Anolis sagrei: one gene and its partners. Each later gene encodes a partner of the first gene's protein in a complex. Links are inferred from orthologs where the notes say so. Each region holds a gene or a part of one and is shown in the gene's direction. Other genes may lie near its edges. The genes, in order: GINS3, GINS2, CDC45 and MCM5.

Evidence for each region.
Region 2: the proteins of GINS3 (region 1) and GINS2 are in contact, whole or in part, in a crystal structure (PDB 2E9X), measured with the Homo sapiens proteins. The link is inferred for Anolis sagrei from reciprocal best matches to the Homo sapiens genes GINS3 and GINS2. Residues at the interface, in NP_073607.2 of Homo sapiens: Leu13, Gly14, Tyr117, Ser121, Leu124, Asn131, Ala132, Ser135, Gln136, Leu138, Leu139, Gln140, Phe142, Ile143, Phe146, Arg147, Ile149, Met150, Asp151, Ser153, Gln154, Ala156, Met171, Gly174, Leu175, Thr178, Gly179, Gly182, Leu183, Asp185; in NP_057179.1 of Homo sapiens: Asp2, Ala3, Ala4, Glu7, Met93, Glu94, Lys97, Asn101, Trp121, Ile125, Arg129, Val130, Ala132, Asp133, Val136, Arg137, Gln139, Met151, Thr155, Ser156, Thr158, Phe159, Leu160, Gln162, Ala163, His166, Met167, Lys169, Leu170, Arg171.
Region 3: GINS3 (region 1) and CDC45 share a complex: the UniProt entries of both Homo sapiens proteins name them as parts of the CMG helicase complex. The link is inferred for Anolis sagrei from reciprocal best matches to the Homo sapiens genes GINS3 and CDC45.
Region 4: GINS3 (region 1) and MCM5 share a complex: the UniProt entries of both Homo sapiens proteins name them as parts of the CMG helicase complex. The link is inferred for Anolis sagrei from reciprocal best matches to the Homo sapiens genes GINS3 and MCM5.

The regions. Positions count from the first base shown.
Region 1 is NC_090028.1:1,445,591-1,453,384, forward strand, and holds the start of GINS3 (DNA replication complex GINS protein PSF3), read left to right. Parts: upstream 1-4,789; 5' UTR 4,790-4,843; coding exon 4,844-5,014; intron 5,015-7,419; coding exon 7,420-7,653; intron 7,654-7,794. Other genes in the region: PRSS54 (inactive serine protease 54), read right to left, coding at 2,764-2,938. UniProt on the Homo sapiens protein: Required for correct functioning of the GINS complex, a complex that plays an essential role in the initiation of DNA replication, and progression of DNA replication forks.
Region 2 is NC_090028.1:24,665,258-24,672,761, forward strand, and holds the start of GINS2 (DNA replication complex GINS protein PSF2), read left to right. Parts: upstream 1-4,504; 5' UTR 4,505-4,516; coding exon 4,517-4,642; intron 4,643-5,729; coding exon 5,730-5,844; intron 5,845-7,504. UniProt on the Homo sapiens protein: Required for correct functioning of the GINS complex, a complex that plays an essential role in the initiation of DNA replication, and progression of DNA replication forks.
Region 3 is NC_090034.1:34,186,383-34,193,928, forward strand, and holds the start of CDC45 (cell division control protein 45 homolog), read left to right. Parts: upstream 1-4,544; 5' UTR 4,545-4,798; coding exon 4,799-4,852; intron 4,853-4,893; exon of another isoform or gene 4,894-5,581; coding exon of another isoform or gene 5,582-5,632; intron 5,633-7,546. Other genes in the region: UFD1 (ubiquitin recognition factor in ER-associated degradation protein 1), read right to left, coding at 375-507, 4,431-4,433. UniProt on the Homo sapiens protein: Required for initiation of chromosomal DNA replication. Core component of CDC45-MCM-GINS (CMG) helicase, the molecular machine that unwinds template DNA during replication, and around which the replisome is built.
Region 4 is NC_090025.1:167,318,923-167,326,855, reverse strand, and holds the start of MCM5 (DNA replication licensing factor MCM5), read left to right. Parts: upstream 1-4,920; 5' UTR 4,921-5,029; intron 5,030-6,563; 5' UTR 6,564-6,574; coding exon 6,575-6,738; intron 6,739-7,629; coding exon 7,630-7,756; intron 7,757-7,933. UniProt on the Homo sapiens protein: Acts as a component of the MCM2-7 complex (MCM complex) which is the replicative helicase essential for 'once per cell cycle' DNA replication initiation and elongation in eukaryotic cells.

The DNA.
Region 1 (7,794 bases):
AAAGACAGGTGAATAGATAAAGAGAGGGAGCGGTGGATGGATGGATGGGTAGATAGACAGATAGATAGACAGACAGACAGATAGAGAAAGATACAGGTGAACAGATAGAGATGGTGACTAGGTAAAGGGAAATGGATTAGTGGATGGATGGGTTGACAGATGTGTAGACAGATAGATAAAGATACAGGTAAATAGATATAGAAATCAATAAAGGAGTTGGTGAATGAATGGATAGATGGATTGCGGGGGGAGAGAGAGAGGTTCAGGTGAAGAGATAAGAGAGATGGAGAAAGGTAAATGTATTTATTGGTGAATGGATGGATTGATAGATGGATAAAGACAGGTGAATAGATAAAGAAAGAGAAATTGATTGGTGGGTGGATGGATGGGTAGATAGATAGATAGATAGATAGATAGATAGATAGATAGATAGAGACACAGGTAAAGAGATAGATGGTGAATAGATAAAGAGAAATGGATTGGTGAATGGATGGATGAGTAGATAGATGGATGGACAGACGGATAGAGAAAGACACAGGTGAATTGATAGAGAAATAAATGGATTGGTGAATGAATGGATGGATCTATTGTTAAGGAGAGAGAGATGAAGAGAAAAGAGAGATGGAGGAAAAGAGAAATGTATTGGTGAATGGATGGGTAGATAAAGGCAGGTGAATAGATAAAGAAAGAGATGGATGGATGGATAGATAGATAGATAAGATAGATAGAGAAAGACACAGGGGAAGAGATAGAGAGATGGTGAATAGATAAAGAGAAATGGATTGGTAGATGGACGAACAGACAGACAGATAGATAAAGACATAGGTGAATCAATAGAGAAATAAATGGATGGATCTATTGTTAAAGAGAGAGAGAGACAAAGAGAAAAGAGAGATGGAGAAAAAGAGAAATGTATTGGTGAATGGATGGGTAGATAAAGACAGGTAAATAGATAAAGAGAGGGATCGGTGGATGGATGGGTAGATAAGATAGATAGATAGACAGATAGATAGATAAAGATACAGGTGAAGAGATAGAGATGGTTTGTTGGATGGATGGATGGATGGATGGATAGATAGATAAAGATACAGGTGAAGAGATAGAGATGGTTTGGTGGATGGATGGATGGATGGATGGATAGAGATACAGGTGAACAGATAGAGATGGTTTGGTGGACGGATGGATGGATAGATAGATAAAGATACAGGTGAAGAGATAGAGATGGTTTGGTGGATGGATGGATGGATGGATAGATGGATAGATAAAGATACAGGTGAAGAGATAAAGATGGTTTGGTGGATGGATGGATAGATAGATAAAGATACAGGTGAAGAGATAGAGATGGTTTGGTGGATGGATGGATGGATGGATGGATGGATGGATAGAGATACAGGTGAACAGATAGAGATGGTTTGGTGGACGGATGGATGGATGGATGGATAGATAGATAAAGATACAGGTGAAGAGATAGAGATGGTTTGGTGGATGGATGGATGGATGGATAGATGGATAGATAGATAGATAAAGATACAGGTGAAGAGATAAAGATGGTTTGGTGGATGGATGGATAGATAGATAGATAGATAAAGAAAGATACAGGTGAACAGATAGAGATGGATTGGTGGGTGGATGGATGGATAGATAGATAGATAGATAGATAAGATAAAGATACAGGTGAAGAGATAGAGATGGTTTGGTGGATGGATAGATAGATAGATAGATAAAGATACAGGTGAACAGATAGAGATGGATTGGTGGGTGGATGGATGGATAGATAGATAGATAGATAGATAAGATAAAGATACAGGTGAAGAGATAGAGATGGTTTGGTGGATGGATAGATAGATAGATAGATAGATAGATAGATAGATAAAGATACAGGTGAACAGATAGAGATGGATTGGTGGGTGGATGGATGGATAGATAGATAGATAGATAGATAGATAGATAAGATAAAGATACAGGTGAAGAGATAGAGATGGTTTGGTGGATGGATAGATAGATAGATAGATAGATAGATAAAGATACAGGTGAAGAGATAGAGATGGTTTGGTGGATGGATAGATAGATAGATAGATAGATAGATAGATAGATAAAGATACAGGTGAAGAGATAGAGATGGTTTGGTGGATGGATAGATAGATAGATAGATAGATAGATAGATAGATAGATAGATAAGATAAAGATACAGGTGAAGAGATAGAGATGGTTTGGTGGATGGATAGATAGATAGATAGATAGATAAAGATACAGGTGAACAGATAGAGATGGATTGGTGGGTGGATGGATAGATGGATAGATAAAGATTCAATTGAAAAGATAAAGAAATATATTGGAGAACAGATCAATTATTGTCAGATAGATGGGTTGGTGGATAAATAGGTCGGTGATAGAGAAAGACACAGGTGAAGAAAGAGATGGAGGAAGAGAGAAATGTATTGGTGGGAGAATGGATAAGAAGAAAGAAAGAAAAGGAATGAAGGAAGGAAAGAAGGAAGGAAGGGGTGAATAGATAGATGGAGAAAGAGAAATGCACTGGTGGATGAATGGATGGGGAGATAGAGACACAGGTGAAGAGAGAGATGGAGAGAAAAAATGTATTGAATGGATGGATGGGGATATAGATTGAAAGAAAGAGAGATAGAAGGATGGATAGAGAGAGAGAGAGAAATACACAAATGAATAGATAAAGGGAAATAGAGAAATGTACTGGTGAAATTCAATGTCCTCCCCAATACGTGTCAGCCCTTGATCGGAACTCACCGGCTAAAGCAGGTGGTAGGAGGGAGGTCCAGCGCAGGAGGAAGAGGAGCCGGCTGACCACTGACCAACGGCACCTCTGCGGTCCAGCCATGGTACACTTGGGAGGCCTGCTCTGTCCGGCTATGGCTAGGCAGAACCAGGGAATGGTCACCTCCCAGGATCCATCCCTGGACATTCTGCTACTGTTGGGTCATTGTGGTCGCCATGGTAGCGCCTTCCGTACACACAGCAAACCAGCATCAAGAGTACTGGTGGTATCAACATATTGCTGAATGCAAGGTGCTAAGGAGGCCTGTGTTTGGGCTGCTTGGGCCTAGGAACCCAGACAATGCCTCAAGCCTCTGTAGAAAAAAGGAGGAGTCCACGTTTTTCTCTTTCTCCCTCCATTCGTGCCTCTTTGAATTCTACAGCACTGCTGGTCACAGCTGACCTCCAACTGGAGCACTCAAGGCTTCCCAGTTCTCAGTGTCTATGCCGGAGTTTTTAAGGTTGGCTTTGAGCCCATCTTTCAATCTCTTTTCCTGTCCACAAAGATTCCATTTTCCATTCTTGAGTTTGGAGTAGAGCAACTGCTTTGGAAGACGGTGGTCAGGCATCCGGACAACGTGGCCTGTCCAGCGGAGTTGATGGCGGAGGACCATCACTTTGATGCTGGTGGTCTTTGCTTCTTCTTCCACCACTTGTCTTCCCAAGAGATTTGCAGGATCTTCCGGAGTCAACGCTGATGGAATCGTTCCAGGAGTTGCATGTGACGTCTGTAGACAGTCCACGTTTCGCAGGCGTATAGCAGGGTTGGGAGGACAATGGCTTGATAGACAAGCCCCTTGGTCTCCCTACGGATGTCCCGGTCCTCAAACACTCTCTGCTTCATTCGGAGGAATGCTGCACTCGCAGAGCTCAGGCGGTGTTGTATTTCGGTGTCAGTGTTGACATCTGTAGACAGTCCACGTTTCAGAGGCGTAGAGCAGGGTTAGGAGGACAATAGCTTTATAAACAACTCCCTTGGTCTCCCTTCAGATGTCCCAGTCCTCAAACACTCTCTGCTTCATTCGGAAGAATGCTGCACTCGCAGAGTTCAGGCGGTGTTGTATTTCAGTCTCAATGTTGACGTCTGTAGACGGTCCACGTTTTGCAGGCATAGAGCAGGGTTGGAAGGACAATAGCTTTATAAGCAAGCCCCTTGGTCTCCCTACAGATGTCCCGGTTCTCAAACACTCCCTGCTTCATTCGGAAGAATGCTGCACTCGCAGAGCTCGGGCAGTGTTGCATTTCGGTGTCAATGTTGACCTCAGAAGCATTAGTTTCTCTGCAGAAACAAAGTTGGACGTTGCATCCAATTACTCCATCAATGCAATGCCAGATTTAATATATTTCAGGGGTCCCTATTGCAAGCATTAGCCTTCCTATAAAATAATAATATTATAATAATAATAAAAAAAGGGGAATGTTGCATGGGAAGAGAGTCTGAATGAGTTTGAGAAGCTCAGAGTGGTCAAGAATGGGTTAAAAGAGCAGCCAATGTGGCTTAGAAGACATAGTTCCCAAGCTTTGGCCCTCTAGGTGTTTTTGGACTTCATTTCCCATAATCCCTGATCATTGGCTAAGGTTGCTGAGGCTTCTGGGAGTGGAAGTCCCAGAAAGAAAGATAGTCCTGTTTCCGCGCAGGCGCAGTTCAACCCGCGCGGCAGATTCGCGCGTGCGCACTTCCCCTGCCTTCTGGGAATGGAAGTCCCAGAAAGGCATCCCTGCTTTTGCGCAGGCGCAGTTCAATCCGCGCGGGACATTCGCGCGTGCGCACTTCCCCGGCCTTCTGAGAATGGAAGTCCCAGAAAGAAAGGCATACCAGCTTCAGCGCACGCAGTTCAACCCGTGCGGGACATTCGCGCATGTGCACTTCCCCGGCCTTCTGGGACTGGAAGTCCCACCAACAAAGGCATCCCTGCTTTCGCGCAGGCGCAGTTCAACCCGCGCTGCACCTTCGCGCGTGCGCACTTTCCCCATCCATTTGCTCTGGCGGGCCGAGAGGGGAGGGGCGTCGGGAGAAGCGTCTGCGCATGCGCGGATTTGAAACTGAGGCGCCATGTCGGCGGAGGCCTACTCGGCGGTGGAGCCGGGGCTGGGCCCCGAGGAGAGCTTCCTCTCGCTGCCGGACCTGCTGATGTCCCACGAGCGGATGCCCTGCCGCGCCCAGGCCGCCCTCCCGCGCCTGGCCCTCGCCCTCGGAAAGGCCCCGCTCGACGCCCTGCCTGAGGTGAGCAGAGAACAGCACGGGACTACAACTCCCGGCAGGCCCCGCGCGCCACACCGGAAGTCCTCCCTGGAGACACCCACAGCCATTCATTCATTCATTCATTGACATTTCTCTGCCGCCTTTCTCACCCTGAAGGGGACTCAGAGAGGCTTACAAGATATATATACATACCATATATTATATTATTCGCATAGTACAATATCTGTATCATATCTCTCTCTATATATAAATGCATAAGGAGTTCCTTAAAAACAACAGAACCAATGAACGAAATCACACCAAATTTGGCAACAAAACATCTCACAACACAAGGAGTGACTATCACCCAATTTTTTTTTATTTTGTCATTTGGGAGTTGTAGTTGCTAGGATTTATAGTTCACCTAAAATCAAAGAGCATTCCGAACTCCACCAACGACGGGATTGAACCAGGCCCTGCTCTCGATCCCGCCTGCTTCTCAAGCTCGGCTGGCGGGGACGAGAGATAGGGCCTTCTCGGTGGTGGCTCCTCGGCTGTGGAACGCCCTTCCTACGGACATTAGGCTAGCATCATCTCTAATGGTATTCCGCAAAAAGGTGAAGACCTGGCTGTTTGAGCAGGCGTTCAAATAATTAGTGCAGTGATTGGTAATGAACATAGGAATGGAACAATGGATGACGAATCTGGATTATGTTTTTGATAATGAGACGACTGTGATCGGTTATTGTAGTAAGTGTTTATTGATTGGGTAATATGTTAAGTTGTTAATTGTTGATATATGTTGCATTGAATTATTGTTGTTTTTATTGGTTGTGAACCGCTGTGAGTCGCCTTCGCGCTGAGAACAGCGGTATATAAGTAAAGTAAATAATAAAAAAATAAAAAAATCTTGGCACACAGAACTCGCACGACCAACAGCAATTACTGGAAGGGTTTGGTGGGCATTGACCTTGAGTTCACCTACATCCAGAGAGCACTGTGGACTCAAACAATGATGGATCTGGACCAAACTTGGCATGAATACTCCATATGCCCAAATGTGATCTTGACATTTTAGAGTTGTTGTTACTGGGAGTTATAGTTCAGCTACAGTCAGAGAGCATTCTGAACCTCACTAACGATAGAATTGGGCCAAACTTCCCACACAGAGACCCCCATGACCAACAGAAAAGTCCTTGGTGACCCCTCTGGCACCTCCCCAGGGGTCTCGACCCCCAGGCTGAGAAACACAGATTTATTTATTTTTGGTCATGTCAGGAGTGATGTGAGAAACTGCAAGTCGCTTTTGGTGTGAGAGAATTGGCCATCTGTAAGGACGTTGCCCAGGGGACGTCCGGATGTTTTTATGTTTTATCATCCTTGTGGGAGGCTTCTCTCATGAGGAGCTGGAGCTGATAGAGGGAGCTCATCCGTGCTCTCCCCGGATTCGAACCTGTGACCTGTCAGTCTTCAGTCCTGCCGGCACAGGGGTTTAACCCACTGCGCCACCGGGGGCTCCGTATCCTAGCAGATAATACTACTGCATTTGCCCTTGTCAATTCCCCACAAAATGGGGGTGCGACTATTATGCAAGCAAAATAAAAATACAATTTTGCCACTCCCCCCAAATGGGGATGCAACTGTTATGCAAGGAAAATAAAAATACAATTTTGCTGCTGCCCCCTCAAATGGGGATGCGACTATTATGCAAGGAAAATATAATTATAATTTTGCCACTGCCTCCCCCCCCAATGGTGGTGTGACTATTATGCAAGGAAAATAAAAATACAATTTTGCCGCTGGGCCCCCAAATGGGGGTGCGACTATTATGCAAGGAAAATAAAAATACAATTTTGCCGCTGCCCCCCCAAATGGGGGTGCGACTATTATGCAAGGAAAATAAAAATACAATTTTGCTGCTGCTGCCCCCCCAAATGTGATGCGACTATTATGCAAGGAAAATAAAAATACAATTTTGTCGCTGGGCCCCCAAATGGGGGTGCGACTATTATGCAAGGAAAATAAAAATACAATTTTGCCTCTCCCCCCCCCCCCAAATGGGGATGCAACTATTATGCAAGGAAAATAAAAATACAATTTTGCCTCTCCCCCCCCCAAATGGGGATGCAACTATTATGCAAGGAAAATAAAAATACAATTTTGCCACTGCCCCCCCCCCAAATGGGGGTGTGACTATTATGCAAGGAAAATAAAAATACAATTTTGCTGCTGGGCCCCCAAATGGGGATGCGACTATTATGCAAGGAAAATAAAAATACAATTTTGCCGCTGCCCCCCCCCCAAATGGGGGTGCGACTATTATGCAAGGAAAATAAAAATACAATTTTGCCGCTGTCCCCCCCCCCCCCCAATGGGGGTGCAACTATTATGCGATGAAGTATGGTATTCACTTTTCTGCCTCTTTTCCCCTTTCCTGTGGCTTGCAGGGCACAAAACTGGAGCTGCCGCTGTGGCTGGCCAAAGGCCTCTACGACAACAAGCAGAGGATCATTTCGGTGGAGCTGCCGGCTGTTTACAAGGAGAGCTGGCGGACCGTCTTCAGTGCTGACGCCAACGTGGTGGACCTGCACAAGCTGGGGCCCTACTACTATGCCTTCGGCTCCCAGATGCTGAATTTTGACAGTCCTGAAAATGCAGAACTCGCGCAGACGATCCTGCAGGTAGAACGACACTTTAGTTGCAGGATAATAATATTTATTATTATTATTTACAGTATTTGTATGCCGCTTTTCTCAAGCCGAGGGGGACTCAGAGCGGTTTTAATAATAATATTTAATAATAATAATAATAATAATAATACT
Region 2 (7,504 bases), about 23 Mb from region 1:
AGAAGGGGCCTGGAACTGTCTTGCTCAAATCGGAAACCATTGCAGGGCATGAAGACATCTGAGCCAAGACAGATATATCTCTATACACACATATCCACACACAAAGAGAAAAGTTGAAAAGGGTTCTAGAGCTTCTCAATGTAACTGGCCACATCCAATATGACAATGTGTGTTCGACAGGAAGAGACGCATTCACACCCCGAAGAAAGGGCTGCATTATTATCCCAAGCACGAACTATTTCTCTTTGAAGAGATGCGATCCTACCTGCAACGGACGACAGAAAACAATTGTGTCATTATTATTATGGGATGACAAGTCTATCATACGACCTGTGTGAAAATGAAGCAAATGTTATGTTGACATTTGTTTGAATGAGATGCTGTCCATCCCTTCGTTTCAGCTCAATATCAGGGAATAAATATCTCAACTAGCCATAAAGATCCTTTGAAACCTCAACATCTTCTCAGGCTTAACCAACCGCCATGGACAAAACGTACATTCTTTGTATTAGGCATTATTGCTGCAGATGGAATGATGGCTGGAATGAGCATCAGATTACTGTATAATGTATTGTTGAAGGCTTTCATAGCCAGAATCATTGGGTTGTGCGTTTTCCAGGCTGTATGGCCATGTTCCAGAAGCATTCTCTCCTGATGTTTTGCCTGCATCTATGGTGGGCATCTTTAGAGGACCTCCTCTTTAGAGGACCTCACAACCTCTGAGGATGCCTGCCGTAGATGCAGATGAAACATCAGGAGAGAATGCTTCCAGAATATGGCCATACAGACTGGAAAACTCACAACAATCCAGATTACTGTATACTTGATCCATCACTATCAAACTGAATGCGGTTTCCTATGTCACTTTTTTTTGTATAAGAATTGAAATCCTTGCACTCTCTTTGGCCATTTCTCCCCAATTATATTTCTGCTAGATTTGCCCCCTCCTAAAAAAAAAGCCTGAAAGTTTGATTCCAACCTTAGCATTGATTCTATCCATTGCTGGACTGGCATGTTTTATTGTCATTGGAAATAATAATGTTTTCCAAGTCTTGGGAATATTTATAAAGCATCATGATTTGTTATGCATTTAGAATGTCCTGTTTTTTTGTGAAATATTTTATTATTTTATATTATTTTATTTATTTACTAACGGGTCCCTGGCGTTGCCCGGGGTATTTTAAAATGTCATTTTGTAAAATTGCACAAAATGCATAAGGTTGTAGGTTAACTGCAACAGACATCATGCCAACTGATTGAGAATTTTTATTTTATTTTATTTATTTCAAACAATTCTCAATCCCCAAGGGGGGACTCAGGGCGGCTTACGCCGGCAACAATTCGATGCCAACACACAATATAGCAAGAGAACACGATTAAAACATTGATTAAAACATTAAATATAAATAGGCAGTTAAAACATTATTAACAATAATATGGGCACATCCAAAATAGATTCAACATTCAGGGACTTAGTTCATTATCAGTTCACTTACTTAGGCGATCCCTCGTTTTCCGAGGAGGATTGTCTTCCAGTGTTCTTGTGGGTCCGTATGTGGCTGTGGAGCCCTATTCTTGCTCTGCATCTTCTTCCGCACTGAGGGCATTGGTTTCCAGGCGGAAGGCGGTCTCAGTCGGGGTTGGCTTGACGCGCCTTCCTCTTGGCACGCGTCTCCCTTTCGCCCTCTTCAAATTCTGCAGCACTGCTGGTCACAGTTGACCTCCAGCTGGAGCAGTCAAGGGCCAGGGCTGCCCAGTTCTCAGTGTCTATGCCGGAGTTTTTAAGGTTGGCTTTGAGCCCGTCTTTAAATCTCTTTTCTTGTCCACCAACATTCTGTTTTCCGTTCTAAGCCTGCTGTCCAAATGCCTGGTCCCACAACCACGATTTGAGCTTTTTCCTGAAGGAAAGGAGAGATGGCACCAACCTAATTTCACTGGGGAGTGAGTTCACAGGCGGAGGCCCACCACCAAGAAGGCCGTGTTGCACAAAGCGTGTTTTAGCCAAGTCCCATGCAAAAGACACACAAACAAGAGGGAAAAAGGAACATAAAAACTTTACTCTTAGCAGCAGAGGTGGAGCCCCCGGTGGCACAGTGGGTTATTGATTGATTTATTTAAAACACTTATATTCCGCCCTTCTCACCCCGAAGGGGACTCAGAGCGGAGCACAGCATATACATGGCAAACATTCAATGCCTGGGTACAATACATAAACATTAAAAAACATTTATCTAAATATTAAAATACACCATTTAAAATAACACAATTTAAAACCGTCCTAGCCATCCGCATCAAATCCAATTGGCTCTGTCATCTTTCCCATTGTCGCTTCATTGTCCTGTCCCGAAAGCTTGGTCCCACAGCCAAGTTTTTACCATCCTTTTAAAGGACAGGAGGGAGAGGCCGACCTGATCTCACCAGGAAGGGAGTTCCATAGCTGGGGAGCAATCACCGAGAAGGCCCTGTCCCTTGTCCCCACCAATCGCGCCTTTGACAATGGCGGGACGGAAAGCAGGGCCTCCCCGGAGGATCTTAATCTCTGCGATGGTAGAGGGAGATGCGTTTGGACAGGTAATTTGGGCCAGGGCCGTTTAGGGCTTTAAAGGCCAAAGCCAGCACTTTGAATTGTGCCTGGTAGTAAACTGGCAGCCAGTGGAGTTGGCGTAACATGGGAGTTGTATGCTCCCTGTATGCCACCCCAGTTATTAACCTGGCTGCCTCTCGTTGGACTATTTGAAGCTTCCGAGCAGTCTTCAAAGGCAACCCCACATGGAGTGTGTTGCAGTAGTCTATTCTAGATGTAACGAGAGCGTGGACCACCGTGGCCAAGTCTGACTTCCCAAGGTACGGGTGCAGCTGGCACACAAGTTTTAATTGTGTGAACGCTCCCCTGGCCACCGCCGAGACCTGGGATTCCAGGCTCAGTGATGAATCCAGGAGAACTCCCAAGCTGCAAACCTGTGCCTTCAAGGGGAGTGTGACCCCATCCAGCACAGGTTACGACCCTATACCCTGTTCGGCCTTGCGACTGACCAGGAGGACCTCTGTCTTGTCTGGATTCAACTGAACCAAACTTGGCGTGAATGGTCAGTATGGCTAAATGTGAACACTGGTGGAGTTTGGGGAAAATAGACCTTGACGTTTGGGAATCTGAATCCCACCAATGATAGAATTGGGCCAATAGTAAAGAATAGGGAAGGGTTAAGGGAAAGGCAGTGGGGGAGGGGGTCATGCAATTTCCACATCAGTGGAGAGAGTCAGAAAAACTGGGATGTCTGTGGTGGAGGAAACACATAAAATCTAGGAGCAAATTCTCCTTGTATGATAGCCTTCATTTGGGTGAGGGACAGGATGGTGTTTGTGGAGGACATTGGCAGGGCTCTTGGACATGTTGATGGTACTCACTATAACCTTCAATGTCATTGGCCTTTGATGTCTCCTGAGTAGTGGGAGCTATAGTTTGCTGAGGCTGGACCTTGCCTGTGTTAGTGGACACCCCAGTCGCATACAAACACATACAGATTTTCTCTTTTATTGTGTGTATAGAAGATATTTTATTTTATATTTTATTATTTTATTTGATACTATTTTATATTTAATTTAATTTAAATTTAAATCTTATTTTATATTTTATATTTTTTAAATTTTTATTTTATATTATATTTATTATTTATTAATATTTATTTATTAATATTTATTTATATTTATATTATTTATATTTATTTATATTTATTTATATTTAATTCTATCTATCTATCTATCTATCTATCTATCTATCTATCTATCTATCTATCTATCTATCTATCTATCTATCTATCTATCTATTTTTAGAGGCATCCGAAATACAGACTAATCACCTCTAGAGCCAATAAAGTGCAACACAGCTTCAAAATATAGCGTTACCCAATCACAGCAAGCCTCCAAGGAATGAGCCAATCAGGAGACGGGGCGAGAGACCCTCCAACCAATAGACATCGCTCGTAGGCGGGGCTAAATTCCATGCGAGAAAATAAGACAACATAAGTTAAGCATTAGTGGGCGGGGTCTTCCCTGTTTCTCTGCCTCTCAACCAATGGCAGCTATGATTGTCTGCTGTAGGAGGAGATATGCAAAACATTGAGCTTCTCATTGGGTTAAGAGTGGGTAGTGGGCGGTACTTTCTCTTCCCATCCAATAGGAAACGCCAGGAAAAGCGGGAGGCTTTCAATATAAGCTAAAAGCAGCGGGTGGAGCAGTGGGCGGGATTTAGCTCTTGTTTTCTACCAATAAAAATCGCGCTTGAGGAAAACCCAGGCTTTTCATTGGATAGAAAAGTAGTCAATCACGTTATTCCCAACCAGTAGGATGTACGGCTTTCTCAGGCTTGGAATTAGCGCGGGAAAGAAAAGAAACCAATTCGCGGTGGGCGGGGTTGGCTTGAGTTTCCCAACCAATAGCAGGTGCGCGGGACCAAAGCGGGGGGTTTCATTGGGCTACGGAAATGATTGCTCGCGTTTCCGACCAATAGGAAGCGGAGATGCCCCAGGAGGCTGAGTTGAGGCTGCATTTTGCCATGGAGGCCGCGGAAGTGGAGTTCCTGGCCGAGCAAGAGCAGGTCACCATCATCCCCAACTTCAGCCTGGACCGGATCTACCTCATTGGGGTGAGTGAGGCGACGAGGAATTTAGGAAGTGTTAAAAGCCCCCCAGAGCTTGGCTTGAGCTAATATTGGCAGACTGCAGCTCCCATCATCCCCAGAAAGTGGTGTAGGAAGCGTTAAAAGCCCCCCAGAGCTTTGCCAGAGCTAATTTTGGCAAACTGCATCTCCCATCATCCCCAGACAGGGGTTTAGGGAGTGTTAAAAGGCCCCCAGAGCTTTGCCAGAGCTAATTTTGGCAGAATGCAGCTCCCATCATCCCCAGAAAGGGGTTTAGGAAGTGTTAAAAGCCACCCAGAGCTTTGCCAGAGCTAATTTTGGCAGACTGCAGCTTGGGGAGAAAGTTCCAGAGTCGGGGGGCCACCACAGAGAAGGCCCTGTCCCTCGTCCCCACCAATCGCGCTTGCGACGTGAGAAGGGCCTCTCCAGATGATCGAAAAGATCATGTGGGTTCGTATACAGAGATGCGGTAAAGCAGGTAGACGGGTCCCAAGCCGTTTAGGGCTTTGTAGGTAAGCACCTGCACCTTGAATTGGGACCGGAAAATGAATGGCAGCCAGTGGAGCTCCTTAAACAGGAGGGTTGACCTCTCCCTGTAAGGAGCAGCAGTTAACAACCTGGCTGCCGCCCATTGGGACCAGTTGGAATTTCCGGGCCGTTTTCAAGGGCAGCCCCACGTAGAGCGCATTACAGTAGTCCAATCTGGACTCTATCCAGCTTTTGCTGCTGCTCAGAAACTATACTAGCTGGCTCCGGAATGGCAGCTGTAGTGCACAAAAAGTAACTCCCAAGTTCTGGGGTTGATAATGAGGTATAGAATAGGCATGGGCAAACTTGGACCCTCCAGGTGTTTTGGACTTCAACTCCCACAATTCCTAACAGCCTACAGCTTTTGAAGTCCAAAGCACCTGGAGAGTCCAAGATTGCCTATGCGTAGTACAGAAAGAGCATGAGGGAGAACCTGCCGGAGGAAGACTTGTCCCTTATGCAAGATTTGTAATTCATATCTTGAATCCCTGGAAAACAGCTGCACATTCCAGGACGATGCCGGAACCAGACCTAAAGTGACTTCTTCATGCTTTCCCTTTTGTAGGGAGACCTAGGTCCCTTCAATCCTGGGCTTCCTGTGCAAGTTCCTCTCTGGCTGGCTATCAACCTAAAACAGAGGCAGAAGTGCCGCTTGATCCCTCCCGAATGGATGGATGTGGGTAAGGAAGACCTTTTCTCCTGTCTTAGGGTGTGTCTATTCCAGTCATGGGCAGATGTCAGTCCTCCAGGTGTTTTGGACTTTAACTCCCACCAGAGGCGGCCCTAGGTAATTTTCAACAGTAAGCAAACAGTATTTTGGCGCCGTCCCCCGTCCCCCCCAACCAATCATTGATATATATATTCTGTTCGTCGTGGGAGTTCTGTGTGCCATATTTGGTTCAATTTCATCATTGGTGGAGTTCAGAATGCTCTTTGATTGTAGGTGAACTATACATCCCAGTAACTACACTTGCCGCACTTGCTTCCTTGCCTGGCCCGCTTTGGGTCTGGAGGCGTGCCTGAAGACCCCGGCGTGTGCACCAAAAGTCACCTCTTCTCCTGACTTTCTCCTCAGCCATTGGAACCAAGAGAGAGAGAGGTGGAGATGCCTACCTTTCCTGAAGGTAGGCGCAAAAACAAAGGAGGGAGTGGAGGTAAGAGATACCTCCAGCCAGTGGGGCTCTCTCTCTCTCTCTCTTGGTCCCAATGGCTGAAGAGAAAGTCAAGAGAAGAGGCGACTTTTGGTGTGCACGCTGGGGTCTTCAGACACGCCTCCGGACCCGAAGCGGGCCAGACGAGGCGGCTCCGCCCCTTGGCCCACCCGTGGATTGGGGAGAGGAGAGGAGGCGGGTGGAGCGCCGGGGGATCGGGGAAGGGATCGAATGCAGAGAACGATTGAGCACCGGCTCTGCTCACGCACCCGGTGGCTGGGTAGAGCAGGAACGAGAGGGGCTAGGCGAGGCTCAAGGGCCCGGCCCCTTTGGGAAGAGGATCGCCCGGCAGCGAGGCAAGAAAGCCGAGGCTCCCCCGGACTGCTAGGGCTGTTGTGAGCTGAGGGGGCACTCCTCAAGTGGCGGTCGAGGGGCATTTACAGAGGCGCCTCTGCACCCCTGGCAAAAAAAAGTGTTCTGCGACCGCTTACTTCGCGAGCCGCCCCTGACTCCCACTATTCCTAACAGCCGGTAGTGTGATGAATAAATGATGTATGGATTGAATGGAATTGTATGAAAGCTGTATGGACCTATTGTTGGAAATAGCAGCCTTCTGCAAGCCCCCTATCCTAGTTTTTTGTTATGTATATGATTGTTAACCTATTTATTTATTTATTTCATATATTTATATCCCGCCCTTCTCCCCACAAGGGGGATTCAGCGCGGCCTCACATAAGCATCAGAGGATGCTAACAGCATAAATACCATAAAAATTACAATTCACAATAAAATCATTTTAAAACATTATACAACATCATCAGTAAAATCTATATAAATAAAAATGTAATGTTCGTTTGTGGGATTAACAGAACTCAAAACCCACTGGACGAATTGACACCAAATTTGGACACAAGACACCTAACAACCCAATGTATGTCCTTCACTCAAAAAATTGATTTTGTCATTTGGGAATTGTAGTTTCTAGGATTTATAGTTCACCTACAATCAAAGAGCACTGTGAACCCCACCAACGATGGAATTCAACCAAATGTGGCACACCGTTCTCCCATGACCAACAGAAAACACTGGAAGAGTTTGGTGGGCAGTGTTCTTTGGTTTTGGAGTTGTAGTTCACCTACATCCAGAGATCACTGTGGACTCAAACAATGATGGATCTGGACCAAACGCT
Region 3 (7,546 bases), on another chromosome or scaffold:
GGTATATGAAGTATAAGTTATAATGGAAAGTTTAAAAATGATAAATATGCTTAAAGATGTCATAGATTTATTTTTCTTTTACTGTTGGTTTGTATATAATATGGTATACTCCCTTGTCTAAGATATTGTAAAAAGAGGGAAAAAAACTCTATACTAGTCTTGGGGCAAAAGTCCCTGTCCTTTAGGGCTCACTATTATCCACCTTTTCACGTATCCCCCGCAGAGATGGCAGGCAGTCTATATGTCTTTCAGTCCGCTCCTTCTTCCCAAAGTAACCACAAAGGTGACAAAAATGCTTTGCAGCTCATTGTTATTTTAGGTCCCATAAGAGAAGACCACTCCAGAGAGCATCCCAAAGAAAAACCAACACATACTTTTCCCTCCTTTCTCCACATCGGATCGGTCATTAGGCCCAGCAAGCATTGACACTGAGAAACAACGGTATTGAGTTGAGAAACGGTTCTGGAAGACTCGGGGAATCGGATGATCAAACATGTTGAAAGAAAACTGGGGAGAACAAAATAAGTTATAAGCCAAGGCATTCGAAGACGTGGGTGGCCTTTACACAGAACACGACAAGCCAAAGTGGTCAAGATACTGAGACAGAAAGAGAGAACTTTTGACCCCGAAAATGTCTCAGGCTATAACCCCCACAATTCCTTAACATGGCCATTGACAGGCGGGCTTCTGGGAGTTGTAGTCCAACACATTGTTGTAGTAGTAGGCCCCCTCCCTATTGGCATTTCGGAGGAAAGTGAAGACCTGGTTGTTCGAGCAGGCATTTGAATAGGCAGTGTAATGAACATAGGAATACAGAACAACGGATGAGATTGGATTGTGATTTTACTTGAGACGTTAATGAGACGTTATATTGATGTTTAACTGTTTATTATGTTATTATTGTATTCATTTTTTAACTGTTTTATGATGTTATGCATTGAATTTTTGCTATTGTTAACCGCTTTGAGTCACCCGAGGGCTGAGAAAAGCGGTATATAAATGAAGTAAATAAATAAATAAATAAATTGGAGGGGGATGCTAACAGTTTTCCATCCAGATAAAGCTTAATTGGACATCCTTCTTTCATGAGGTTGATGTGAGGCTCAAACCAGCAGACGGCGAATCAATATTGCATATTTAGCATTGTTGTGTGCCTTCAAGTCATTTCCAACATTGGACAAATTGGATTTTCTTAGTTCAGAGGGTTGACCATTGCCTTCCTCTTACATTGAGAAAGCACAAATTGCCCAAGGTCTCCCTTTGGGGTTCCATGGCCAAGCAAGGGATGCAGCCACACTGTAGAATTAATGCAGTTTGACTCCACCTGAATTACCCTGTCTCAATGCTATGAAATCACAGAAGTTGTTGTTTTGCAAGCTCTTTTACCTTCTCTGCAGGAGTGCTCATGCTACCCCAAAATTACAACTCCCAACAACTCCTGAGGTTGAGAGTTGGAAATGTTTATCCCACTCCTTTAGAAGATTCCTATCACATCCCACTGTTATTGTGAGATTATTCCACCTTAACTGCCATGTTAATATCATACAGAAGGATGTGATTTGCAGTTGAAGGAGGGGCATTGAGAAACCTCAGCTGGAGAGCTCTCAGGTCTTACTAAAAAGCAAGCCTTTGCATTCCAAAGGAAGTTGCCAAAGAGGAATCAAAGTGCTCTAAACATGTGGAGTGATAACAACCTTATGCCTTACCTGAGGAATGTCATTTTCCCCATTTGATGTTCTTGTAACCCAGCTGGAATTTAGAAACTGTACTTTTATTTACACTTGCATTTTATAAAGAAAATATATGTGCGTGCATATACATACATACATGTGTGTGCAAGTATCTGTATGTATATACACACATACATACACTGTATATACTCATGTATAAGTCAAGGACATGTTTGAGGGTAAAAATTATGGATTTTGATATGACCCATGGGTAAGTTGAGGGTTATTCTGTAGAGAGGGGAAAGCGCCAGTGCTGCCGCTACTATTTTCCCCTGCAGGACATTCAGTAAGTCTAGAAGCAGCTTGGCAGCCGAGAGTACAGGAGACTGGTGATTCTTTGAAGTTCCCCTGAGTTGGACCAAGTGTTTGCCTTTTGCCATCTTACTCAAAGAAGGGGGAGGTTCCTGTCTTGATCAGAGTTACAGTATGTACACAGACCTGTGGATAAGCCGACCCAGGTTTTTGGAGTTGATGTTCCGGCTCAAATTTCTAGATGAATACATCAATGTATAGTTCTCAAACATACTATATGGATACACATAATAATTAAAAATGTATAGAGATACACATAAGTCTATAAATGAGTCTATAATTCCCAAAGATACAATAAGTATATGAATAGTAATACTACTAACAAGAAAACATGTCCTCTGCCACCGAGCAATCCAATTTTTTAGTGTCAATAATATGGCTCAAAATTTCTAGATGTATACATTATATATAGACTTATACATGAGTCTATATATGAGTTTATAGTTGCCAAACATAGTAAAAGTAAGTATATGGATACATGTGAAACTGCCTTCTATTATCTCAGGCTATCTTTTCAAACAAAGAGGCCTAGGACTCAAAGCCAGGTTCCTTTTGGCATCCAAATATGTATGATGATGCTACCAAGGGACCACAGTTTTTGGTTCCATGTTCTAGCTCCAATTTCTAGACTTATACATGAGCCTATAGACTTGTACATGAGTTTATATACTGTATTGATGTGAGTCTAATGCGCCATCGACCCTAATGCGCACCTCAATTTTCAAAACCCTGAAATAAAAAAAGTATTTGCTGGCAGCACACTGTCATTTGGACAAAAAAGGTGTGCATTACTGTTGCTGCCTGTTTAGAATTCCTTCTTTCAAAGCAAAAGTGTTAGGACACCAAAGCTTCCAGCGACTGAGAGGAAACCCTTGGGGTGCATCTATGCTGTAGTATGAATGCATTTTAATTGCTTTGGTTCAATGCTATGAAGTCATGGCGGCTGTAATTTTCCAAGGTCTTGAGCCTTCTCTCCCAAAGAATGTGGATGCCTCATAAAACTACACCTGGAGGGAGGGAGAGCAAAAGTTGGTCCAGGTCTGGCCTATAGAGTATTATTATATTATTACATATATATAATTTTATTAGCATAGCACAATATTAGTATTATACATCATTATATTGTACTGTACCACTATGCTGCAGTATTATTAGTAATATTACATGCACTATATAATACAGACTTATTATATAATTATATCGTACTACATGATTATACCACAATATAATACACTATCAGTATATTATACTATTGGTATTTTACAATACATTGTACTATATTATAAGTTTTAGTATATACAATATACAATATATTATATTATAGCATTTTAAAGTATTATTACATTACAATGTAATTATTTCTACATATTATAATATTATATATATTGAGGGGCTCCAGAGTGATGCTGCAGGAGACATGATGTAGCTGTGATAATAATAATAACGTAATACACTTAATAATAATAATAATGTAATTAATAATGTAATTAATTATGTAATGCACTTAAACACAATCGGCGCTGACAAAATTACCATCTGCCAGCTGCAGAAGGCCACCTTACTGGGATCTGCACGCATTACTTGCCGATACATCACACATTCCTAAACACTTGGGAAGTGTTCGACGTGTGATCCAATACAACAGTCTGCAGACTGTCTGCTGTGGACTGATCTTGTTGTGTTTCAAATAATACAATATCATAGAATCATAGAGTTGGAAGAGACCCTGTGGGCCATCCAGTCCAATCCCCTGCCAAGAAGCAGGAAAATAGCATTCAAAACATCCCTGACAGATGGCCATCCAGACATCTAATACCAATTAAATACTAATGGCTGCTAAATACTACTGTTAGTCATTTGATTCTAATATATTAAATATAATTACAACTTATCATCTATAATAATATATGATATACTGTTTTGTTATTGTATATTTAAAGTTGTCATGTTTTGTATTGTGAGTCCCTTTGAGTCTCTGTATGGAGAGATAATGCAGGATATAAAGAATCTAGAGTAGGCCTTGATCCCCAGAGTCCTGTCAAGAACACAAGGCTTGCGATGGAGGCTGCCTCCACCCCCCAAAGAGTAAGAAGAAGAGTCAAGAAGACCCCACCAATGTCCCTGTCACCAGAAACAAGGCTTCTTCAACCACAGGAGCCCTGTCCTGCCCTCCACTGTGGCTCCCAAGCAAAGCCAAGTCTCCCCAAGGCAGCCTCGGGCGGCAGAGGCCGAGGGGGCGGCAGCAATGGCGGCTTCCTTCACTTTTCTCAGCAGGAGGCCTATCCCAGAGCCGCCGCCCCCTCCCAAGCCAGTTCTGAAGTCACAATGCAGGCGACGGGGCAGGGAGGCTCCGGAAAAGCCTCAGGGCCTAGGCCTCAAAGCCCTTACCATGGCGGCCTAGAGTTCCTCCTTTGCCTCTCTTGCTTCGGACCCGACCAAGGCCTCCGCGCCGCCGCTTGTCGCTCGCCTCACCGCCAGGGACACCTTCAACAACTCCGGCTCCACATGAAAGACCCGCGAAAACGCCTTCACTTTCGAAGGAATGTTTAGGAAGACATCGAAGGCCGTCAAGGCCTTGCAAAGTGGTGTTTTGGAATTCGTAACTACATGTCCCAGAATGCGCTTCGAGGCCTCTTCCGCCTTGGAAGCAAAAGGGGCGGGGTTTCGGGCAACTCCTCTGAGGACAACATAGGTTGGGCTTGGGTCTTCTTCACCTGAGCTGAGCTGAGCTGAGCGGGCCGGGCCGACCCGCCCCTATGCCTCGCCGCCAAGTCATCTCAGTCCCCGAAGGAGTCTCATCACTTCCGGCTGTGAGTCGCCATTATTTCCCCCCCCCTCCTCCGTGAGAGAGGAAAGTGCTCCGCGTCACTCCTAATCCGCGGAATCAAATCCTACATTTCCTGCTCGAAACTGGGGGTTCTTCCAGGCTGCCCTTTATTCCAGGATCTGACCCCAGATTACCTGTTTCCAAGTGGAGTATATGCGGCCCCACTGCCAGATAACCTGGGAGAAACAGATAATCTGGGATCAGATCCTGGGATATAGGGGCAGTGTGGAAGGGCCCTGGAATATCTAGCAGTGTGGGCTCCGAGAACTCAGGGCCCTTCCACACAGCCACATAATCCAGAATATCAATGCAGAAAATCCCATAATATCTGCTTTGATCTGGGTTATCTGAGCCCACACTGCCATATATCCCAGTTCAAAGGAGATGATTGGATTCAGCTGTGTGGAAGGGGCCGAAGTCAAGGGCCCTTGGCTGTTGTGCGGCGACTGAGCAAATGTTCCGGCTGACTATGCCCAGGTGGTGATTGGTGTCAGGTACCGGGGCGGGCCCGCTTCGAACTTGTCCAATGAAGATCACGGAAAGAGAGAGAGAGAGGAGACAGCCCATTGGTCGAGGCCCGGAGCGTGGCGGCCAATAGGGAAAGGGAAAGGTTTTGGCGCCTTCCTTTGAGCGGGGAAGACAGCTTCCCGAGGAGTTTTGTCGCCCGACGCCATTGCCGCCTTCCTGTCAGCGGGTTCTTCGGCCTTTGAGCATGTTCTTAACGGACTTCCGCAAAGAGTTCTACGAGGTGGTTGTGAACCAGGTGAGCGGGAGCTTTTCTCCGGGAGTCTGCCGCCGCTCCCTCTTTGAGGCGCGGCCATGATGGAGGAGGAAGGCCTCCGCCCGCTCTCAGGAGCCCAGGGAGCTCCCTCAGGGGGACTCCCACTCTCAGAAGCTGCGAGGGACTCGGGGCAACCATTTTCTTGTCCTAATTAGAAACTTACCCATTGTAGTGCTCATTACTGCCACTCAATCAACAAACTGCGAATGATCAAAGTTTTAGCAGTTCCCACACTTGAATAACACCAGCACTCCACTTCTGTAGGGATTGAAGTGGAGGCTTTTCAACAGAGCCTGGATGGCCATCTCTCAGGCATGCTTTGATGGTGTCCTCCTGCCTGGCTGAAGGGGGTTGGACTGGATGCCCTTTGGGGTTCTCTAGAGAAATATAGACTGCTTGGGAATCCATTGGAGTCTCCTTCTCTGGAGATTTTTGAACTAAGGCTGGGTGGCCATCCAGGGCTGCTATGAGTGTGCCTTTCTGCCTGGCTATTTATTTTTATTTATTGTGTCAGAAGTGAATTGAGAATACAGTTATAATGTATTTTAAATTAAAAACACAAAGTTAAAAACTTGGCATTATACAAGATTTCATTTCACCAGAAGATGGCCACTTGGAGAGCCTCTGGTTTCACTGTAAGAAGGTGCATGTTTTTGGAAAACACCATTTGGAGATCATAACTTTAAAAAAGCATGACCTTTTGGGAAGAGCCAAAAATCCCTTTGTTTAGAATCTTCTCTTGTGGTGTACAACCAGATGTAATTGTGCTAGGCAATGATTGCAGCTGTTAGACCGAATAACCTGTTATCTCTGATCTGTTAGGAAAATAGATATTTTTGCCAGTTCATAAAACAGCAGAACTTTAGAAGTGTTTTTAGTTGTCCATATATATATATACTCTCCCATAAAACAACTTGTTTTATATCATGCACTCAAAAGACAAAAATTAAGTAGACTTTGATAAAAATAACATATTTGGTTTACTCACAACCTTCATTCATTCAGCATACCTTAGTCCAATCGGCCAGGACAATCTTACAGCAAAAACAGCAAGCAAGTGTGTGATCTGAGGTCTGAAATAGTCTGTAGTCATGAAGTAGTCTGTTTCTTTGCTATAGTGATAATGTGGTTTGCAGCCCTTTTCTAGGAACCATAGAGTAAATGAAGCTACATGCCCAGAACATACATACAAACAGTAAGCAACAGGTTCATAGATAAACATTACTAGAGAAGGCTTGAAGAAGGTTGTCATTTCCAGAACATGTGGTGGGGCACAGACTGCATTGTAGTCAGTGATCTATGGTTTGTTCTTCTCCACACTTGCATGTTGTGGATTCAACTTCATGGCCCCATTTCTTAAGATTGGCTCTGCATCTCGTGGTGCCAGAGTGCAGTCTGTTCAGCGCCTTTCAAGTCGCCTAGTCTTCTGTGTGCCCAGGAGGGAATCTCTCATCCAGTCTCAGCCACTGATTGAGGTTCTGGGTTTTAGCCTGCCACTTTTCAACTCTTGCTTTCTCAGGTGTTCCTGTGAGTGCGTCTGTAGATCTTAGAAAGCTATTTCTTGATTTAATGCATTGGTATGCTGGCTGGTATCTGTACAGAAGATGGGCCAGGGATGTCACTGCCTTGGTCCTTTCATTATTGGCTGCTACTTCCCAACAGATGTCAGGTGGTGCAATACCAGCTAAATAGTATAGTTTCTCCAGTGGTGTAGGGCATAGACATCTTGTGGTAATGTGGTATGTCTCATTAAGACTCACATCCACTGTTTTAACATATTCCACACTAGGCATACGTATTCAGTGGCAGAGTAGCAAAACACAAGGGCAGGTGTCTTCACTGTGTCTGGTTGTGATCTCCAGGTTGTGCCAGTCAGCTTTTGTGGGATATTATTTC
Region 4 (7,933 bases), on another chromosome or scaffold:
CAAACTTGTTTTCTGCTGCCCTGGAGACTAGGATGCAAAATAATGGCTTCAAACTACAGGAAAGGAGATTCCCCCGAACATGAGGAAAAACTTCCTGACATTGAGAGCTGTTCAGCAGTGGAACTCTCTGCCCTGGAGTGTGGTAGGGGCTCCTTCTTTGGAGGCTTTCAAACAGAGGCTGGATGGCCATCTGTTGGGGGTGCTTTGAATGTGATTTTCCTGCTTCTTGGCAGAGGGCTGGACTGGATGGTCCATGAGGTCTCTTCCAATTCTATGGTTCTATATCTACTCCAGTTGGAAACAAATCCCTGGAAAGCTAGGATGGAACAGGTATACTAGGGAAAAGATGCCATGTTGGTTGCTTCACAAACCACCTGTGATCTTTAAAGAAATCGGTTTGGTAAATAAAAGCCTAAACATCCTAAAGGCATTAGATGCCATCTGAGCTTAGAATCTGGGCAGGACTAGTCTTGGTTAGTACTTGGGTGGGAGGCCCCAAAGCATACCTGGTGTTATAGGCTACATTCAGAGGGAAGAACTGGCAGAAACACATTTCTCAACAGCACCAGCAACAACAAGGTGGCTATTATATGCTGCCACAAAGTAACAAAACAGTATCTTTGAGTTTTTTTTATAAAAAATGTATGTTGAAACTCAAGTAGTTGCTGAAGTTAAAAAGTGACAACTCATGGTAACTTTTCCTAAAGAGAGACGCAAACAAGGCAACACACAACTGAATTCTTGCATCATTATAAAGTAACTGTATAGCCTTGGAGAAAAACTTAGGGTGTATCTAAACCTGGCATGGACAAACTTCGGCCCTCTGGGTGTTTTGGTCTTCAACTCCCACAATCCCTAAAGTAATTTCACTTTCTCCTGGATGCTATCAAACTTCAATATTTACTGTGAACCCCAACATACACACATTGCAGGTGGTTCTATGTCTCATATCAATTCTAGCCTGGCAATTCCTTCCCACATGTCTTTGAGTCAACTCTTATGTTAACCAGGCCCTTCTTTAGAGTGAGAACATAGCTCCACCTGTGGGCACAATGGTAACATTACATGAACTGCACAAGATTACAATTACCTCTTATTTCCATGGCACTTTTGAATGGTCTAAGAGTTTCATGCATATAATCCAGGCATGGACAAACTTTCTAGCTTGGGGGCCACGTAGCAGGCCAGAGGGGAGTGGGTGGGCTGGGAGGTAGGAGATTCTCCCCAAGTCCCCTCCCTGCCCTTTCCCCCCTTCCTCTTCTCTTTCAGAAGCAGAAAGTGGAGAAAAGACAGGAAACATTTGGATCCCAGGAGGAAATGGTGGATGAGAGAGAAAAAGTATATCCATTAGATAAATGGTTCTCAATCTGTAGGTCCCCAGATGTTTTGGCCTTCAACTCCCAGAAACAGCTGATAAATTAGCTAGGATTTCTGGGAGTTGAAGTCCCAAACACCTGGGGACCCACAGATTGAGAACCACTGCATTAGACCCTGTATTGCAGTGGTTCTCAACCTGGGGTCCCCAGATGTTTTTGGCCTACACCTCCCAGAAATTCCAACCAGTTTACCAGCTGTTAGGATTTCTGGGAGTTGAAGGCCACAAACATCTGGGGACCCCAGGTTGAGAACCACTGCTGTATTGCTTTCTCTTGATATGTAATCCTAGAGCTGGAAGAGACCCCCAAGGGCCAGCGTGTCCAACCCTCTGCTATGGAGGAAGGCACACTCAAAGCACTCCTGATAGACAGCCTCTGTGGAAAAGCCTCCAGAGAAGGAGACTCCACCACACTTCAAGGACGCCTATGCCACACTCCAACAGTTTTTACTCTCAGGAAGTTCTTTCTAAACTTTTCAGTCGAATCTCTTTCCCTACCATTTGAAACCATTGCTCCCTTGTGCCCTGGTCTCTAGAGCCACAGAAAGAGCTTTCTCCATTGTGGCCCCCTGGCTTTGGAACTTGCTACCTAGTGAGATTAGGCAAGCCCCTATGCAAGCAGCTCTTCTGATGTGCCTTTGACGAATGAACACAAACCCCCCATTTCTGTCCCAATTACAGATTCATCCTCATGATGCACTTTTTCCCATCCTTATGGGAGGGGGAAAGAGGGGGTAAATAAAGAAGGGAAGTCTTACAAATGAACTTAAATTCAATTGACTACTATTGATATAATATTCAGAAGTTCTACTTTTGAAACTGGAAAGCACTTCGCTAGACATACGAACTAGTGTCGTACGGTCCAATTGTGACCTTATAAAGTGAATATTATTTCATGTTATTTATGCAATATTTTATATTAATTCCTGTATTTATTCAGTATTTTAATTTCAGCAATGCCAAATGATATATATTGGAAAATTAGCAATTTGGTGTGACTCTTAATTTATTGCTTGCTTGAATGGTTGTTAAAAATAAAATTTAATTTTCAGCAAAATAAAATAAAGAAGGGAAGGAAGGAAGGAGAGAAGGAAGGATAGGATGGTGAGAGAGAGGAGGGGCTGAGAACAGCCCAAGGGCCCTGGGTTTGCCCATCTATATAAATAAAAATGTAATGTTAGTTCGTGGGATTAACAGAACTCGAAAACCAGTGGGCCAATTGACACCAAATTTGGACAGCATACACCTAACATCCCAATGTATGTTCTTCACTCAAAGAAATTGATGTTGTCATTTGGGAGTTGTAGTTGCTGGGATTTATAGTACACCTACAATCAAAGAGCATTCTGAACTCCGCCAATTATGGAATTGAACCAAACATGGCATACAGGACTCCCATGACCAACAGAAAACACTAGAAGGGTTTGGTGGGTGTTGACCTTGAGTTTGGGAGTTATTTGTCGTGTCAGGACAACCAGTCAAATTATATTACATTTCTAACAGAACAAAGCAAACAAACAGACAAAATGCAAAATTTGTGAGTTTGGGAGTTGTAGTTCACCTACATCCAGAGAGCTCTGTGGATTCAAACAATGATGGATCTGGACCAAACTTGGCACAAATATTCCATATGCCCAAATATGAACACAGATGAAGTTTGGAGGAAATAGACCTTGACATTTGGGATTGGTAGTTACTGGGATTTTCAATTCATCTACAATCAGAGCATTCTGAGCCCCACCAACGACAGAATTGGGGCAAACTTCCCACACAGAACCCCCATGACCACAGAAAATACTTAAGGCCATCCAGTCCAACTCCCTTCACCAGGACAAGAAAATGTAATCAAAGCCCTCCTGACAAAGAGCCTTCCAGCCATGGATATAGATAGAATCATAGAATCATAGAATCAAAGAGTTGGAAAAGACCTCATGGGCCATCCAGTCCACCCCGCTGCCAAGAAGCAGGAATATTGCATTCAAATCACCCCTGACAGATGGCCATCCAGCCTGTTTAAAAGCTTCTAAAGCAGGAGCCTCCACCACACTCCGGGGCAGTGAGTTCCACTGCTGAACGGCTCTCACAGTCAGGAAGTTCTTCCTCGTGTTCAGATGGAATCTCCTCTCTTGTAGTTTGAAGCCATTGTTCTGCGTCCTAGTCTCCAAGGAAGCAGAAAACAAGCTTGCTCCCTCCTCCCTGTGGCTTCCTCTCACATATTTGTACATGGCTATCATATCTCCTCTCAGCCTTCTCTTCTTCAGGCTAAACATGCCCAGCTCCTTAAGCCGCTCCTCATAGGGCTTGTTCTCCAGACCCTTGATCATTTTAGTCGCCCTCCTCTGGACACATTCCAGCTTGTCTCTCTTCAATTGTGGTGCCCAGAATTGGACACAATATTCCAGGTGTGGTCTAACCAAAGCGGAATAGAGGGGTAGCATTACTTCCCTAGATCTAGACACTACGATAGATATATATGATTCATGCACAGAAAGATATAGTATCATAGATTTGAAAGGAACCCCTAAAGAGCATGCTGCATGTTTCAGGGTAGGCAAACCAGACAATCTTTACATCAACACTGACAAAGAAACAACAAGAAATACTGTTTACTCACAAGCATCAAGAAATTACATATATTAGAAACCAAGACTTTCTCATTTCTTTATTTTCCAGATTACCAGACTGGGCCACAGCAACACGTGGCAGGGGACAGCTAGGACCTGATATAACCTTTCATAGTCGATAATATGATGGATAACCCGGGTGGCCCAGTGGGTTAAAGCGCTGAGCTGCTGAGCTTGTTGATCAAAAGGTTGCAGGTTCGATTCCGGGGAGCGGCGTGAGCTTCCGCTGTCAGCCCTAGCTTCTGCCAACCTAGCAGTTCAAAAACATGCAAATGTGAGTAGATCAATAGGTACTGCTCTGGCGGGAAGGTAACGGTGCTCCATGCAGTCATGCCGGCCACATGACCTTGGAGGTGTCTACGGACAACGCTGGCTCTTCGTCTTAGAAATGGAGATGAGCACCACACCCCAGAGTCAGACATGACTGGACTTAATGTCAGGGGACTACCTTTACCTTTACCTTAATATGATGAAACAATGACTTTCCTATGGCCTTCTTGGCTCATATTAGAAACAACACCTTTACTTCAGTGGACACAAACTTGCTTCATGCACAAAACTATTTTGAGTATTTTATGATATTTTTAACATTGGCTGTGTGTCTGACAGCTAACTTCCCATTGCCAATAAGAAGATACAGCTGAACATGCCTTTAGCTCCTCCCACTTCCGCCTACAGCCTCCATCTTAAGCCTCTTCTTAAGTTCTGTGCGAGAGGCTTTCTGGCGCTAAAATAAAGTTCCAGGAAAAGTCAGGCGAAGCAAGGGCGGGCTCTTCTTTCTGCCTCCTCCAATCGGATTGAAAATATGGAAATCCAAGCACAGAAAGGGCGGGGTTCGGCAAATTTTAGCAAAGCCAATCGCGCATGGCTGAATTCTTTGTAACCAATGGGAGCAGTCGGCGTGCGACCGTCAGAAGGCGGGGCGAAGTGTTTTCCCGCGAAAATCTCTCTCCGCCTTCTCCTTTTTTGCTCGGCACTGAAGAAAGGTCTGCTTAAGTGGAAAATAGAAATTCCAAAGGAAAAGGAAAAGGTTGGTGCAGTAACTAGTCTTTGCTGGGAGTTAGACGAGGAATAGTCCTTTTTCCTTGTCTTTGTAACTAGTTTTTGACAACTATTCACTTCCTAATGAAGTTTCTAATTATCTAACCTAACTAATTACTGAAGTGCTATAGAGCCGGGCTAAAGATGGCTTCTTGAGCTGAGTTTCCAGCCTTGAGGATATTTCCCCTCATCCAGTGTTTACCAAACTTTGGTGCGCCACCAGTTTTGGACTTTAAACTCCTATAATTCCCAAACAGCTTAGACAAAGACAGGATTTATGGGAGATGAAGTCCAAAACATCAGGAAATCCAGTCTGGGAAACACTGTCCTGGGATCCATCGGCAGTAGAATAATGTAGTTTGACATCACTTTTAATTGCCATGGCTCAATGTTATGTCATTCTGGGAGTTGTAGTTTAGTATTTATTTCTTTTATTTATTTACTAGCTGTCCCCTGCCACGCGTTGCTGTGGCCCAGTCTGTGTATATGTGTTTTGTGTGTGCATATATGTGTATGTATTTGGTTTTTGCGTGCATAGTAATGCATTTTTATTTGTTTTGGCTTTTGAAGTCTCTTCTGCTGTATTTTTTAGTGTTTTTATGAGTGATGGTCACTCGTTGGCCTGAAAGGTGTGTTGTGTCCAAATTTGGTGTCAATTCGCCCAGTGGTTTTTGAGTTATGTTAATCCCACAAACGAACATTACATTTTTATTTCTATAGATTTGCCATACTTGTACCCCGCCCTGGTTTGTAGGAAATGATATGTTCTGACAGGTAGCTTGGGCCAGAACTGTTTAGGACTTTATAGGCCAAAGCCAGCACTTTGAATTGTGCTCGGTAGCAAACTGGGAGCCAGTGAAGGTGACACAACATGGGGTTGTGTGCTCCCTGAGTGCCGCTCGAGTGAGCAACCTGGCTGCTGCTCGCTAGACCAGTTGAAGCTTCCAAACACTCTTCAAAGGCAACACCACATAGAGTGTGTTGCAGTAATCTATACGGGATGTAAACAGAGCATGTACTCTTTGGAAGAGAAGGCTAGAGACCTAATAAAACTACAGCTCCCAAGATTCCAAAGTACTGAACGATGGCAGTTAAAGTAGTGTCAAACTGCATTAATTCTGCAGTGTAGATGCACTTTAAGAAAAACAAGCCTTCATTTAACTGGAGGGAAGGGGAAAGGACATCCTAAGTAAAAGAAGAGAAAATTGATTTATGCAGAGTTTGCATAGCACTAGCTTTCTACATGTTGAGATGCACTTTAAACATTTAGACTTTCTACTTCATCACACTAGAGAATGAATCCACTTTAAATCCAGTTTCTGCCTCCTTCATAATTATGGGCTTTGTAGTTTAGGGAGGAGCCTTTAACAGCCTCACTTAAACTACAAGCCCCAGAATTCTGCAGGAGGCAGAAACCGGATGTAAAGCATATTCATTGTGATGAGGTCCTTTGTCCTGGATGATGGTTATATATATTTCTGCATCCTTTCAGATCCTTTCTTTATCTCTGTTTTTCCCTGCAGAGTGAGACGCCATGTCTGGCTTTGATGATCCCGGCATTTTCTACAGCGACAGCTTTGGTGACACAGGGGGAGATGAGGGCCAGATCCGGAAGTCCCAGTTGCAGAAGCGTTTCAAAGAGTTCTTGAGACAGTATCGGGTTGGAACAGACCGCACTGGCTTCAATTTCAAATACAGGTGCCCTTTCCTCCCAAATAAAATCACTTTTCTTGCTACACTTCATAGTTGATTGGCCTTGATAGCAGTATGTTTGAAATAGATCTTGGAGTCCTCGTGGACAACAAGTTAAACACAAGCCAACAATGCCATGGAGCAGCTTAAAAAACCAATGGAATTTTGGCCTGCATAAATAGGCGCATAGCGTCTAGATCCTCGGAAGTCGGCTTACCCCTCTATTCTGCCTTGGTAAGATCACACCTGGAATACTGTGTCCAATTCTGGACACCACAATTAAAGGGAGATATTGACAAGCTGGCATGCGTCCAAAGGAGGGTGACTAAACGATCAAGGGTCTGGAGAACAAGCCGTATGAGGAGCGGCTTAAAGAGCTGGGCATGTTTAGCCTGCAGAAGTGAAGGCTGAGATGAGACATGATGAAGGCCATGTATAAATATGTGAGGAGAAGTCATAGGGGGGAGGGAGCAAGCCTGTTTTCTGCTGCCCTGGAGACTAGGATGGAGAACAATGGCTTTAAACCAGAGGAAAGTAGATTCCACCTGAACATGAGGAAGAACTTCCTAACTGTGAGAGCTCTCTGCCCCGGAGTGTGGTGGAGACTCCTTCTTTGGAGGCTTTTAAACAGAGGCTAGATGGCTGTCTGTCGGGGCTCCTTTGAATGTGATTTTCCTGCTTCTTGGCAGGGGGTTGGACTGGATGGCCTGCAAGGTCCCTTCCATCTCTATAATTATATAAATATAAATGTACTGCTAGTTGGGATTAAATATGGCTGTGTTAGTGTAATTTATCTTTCTTGGTAAAAGTGCTCTAACAAGTGTGTTCTTGACTGTAAGCTGCTTGTTTTCAGTCTCACATGCCCTCACTACTCCTGCTGTTCTCACTCTGTCTTAGAGATGAACTCAAACGGCATTACAATCTGGGCCAGTACTGGATTGAAGTGGAGATGGAAGACTTGGCAAGCTTTGATGAAGACCTAGCAGACTATCTGTACAAGCAGCCTGCAGAACACCTCCAGTTGGTATGTGTGGGATGGGATGAGAAATGCTGCCTGAAAGAGAGATATTGTGGTCAAAGTGCCATTCAAATGACACATTCAGGACCCAGTGCTGTTTTTGAGGCCCTTGATCTTCCATATTACTTAAACCGAATCCCTTCCTGAGCAATTCATTTATGAAGCTGTAGTAGCCTCTGCACT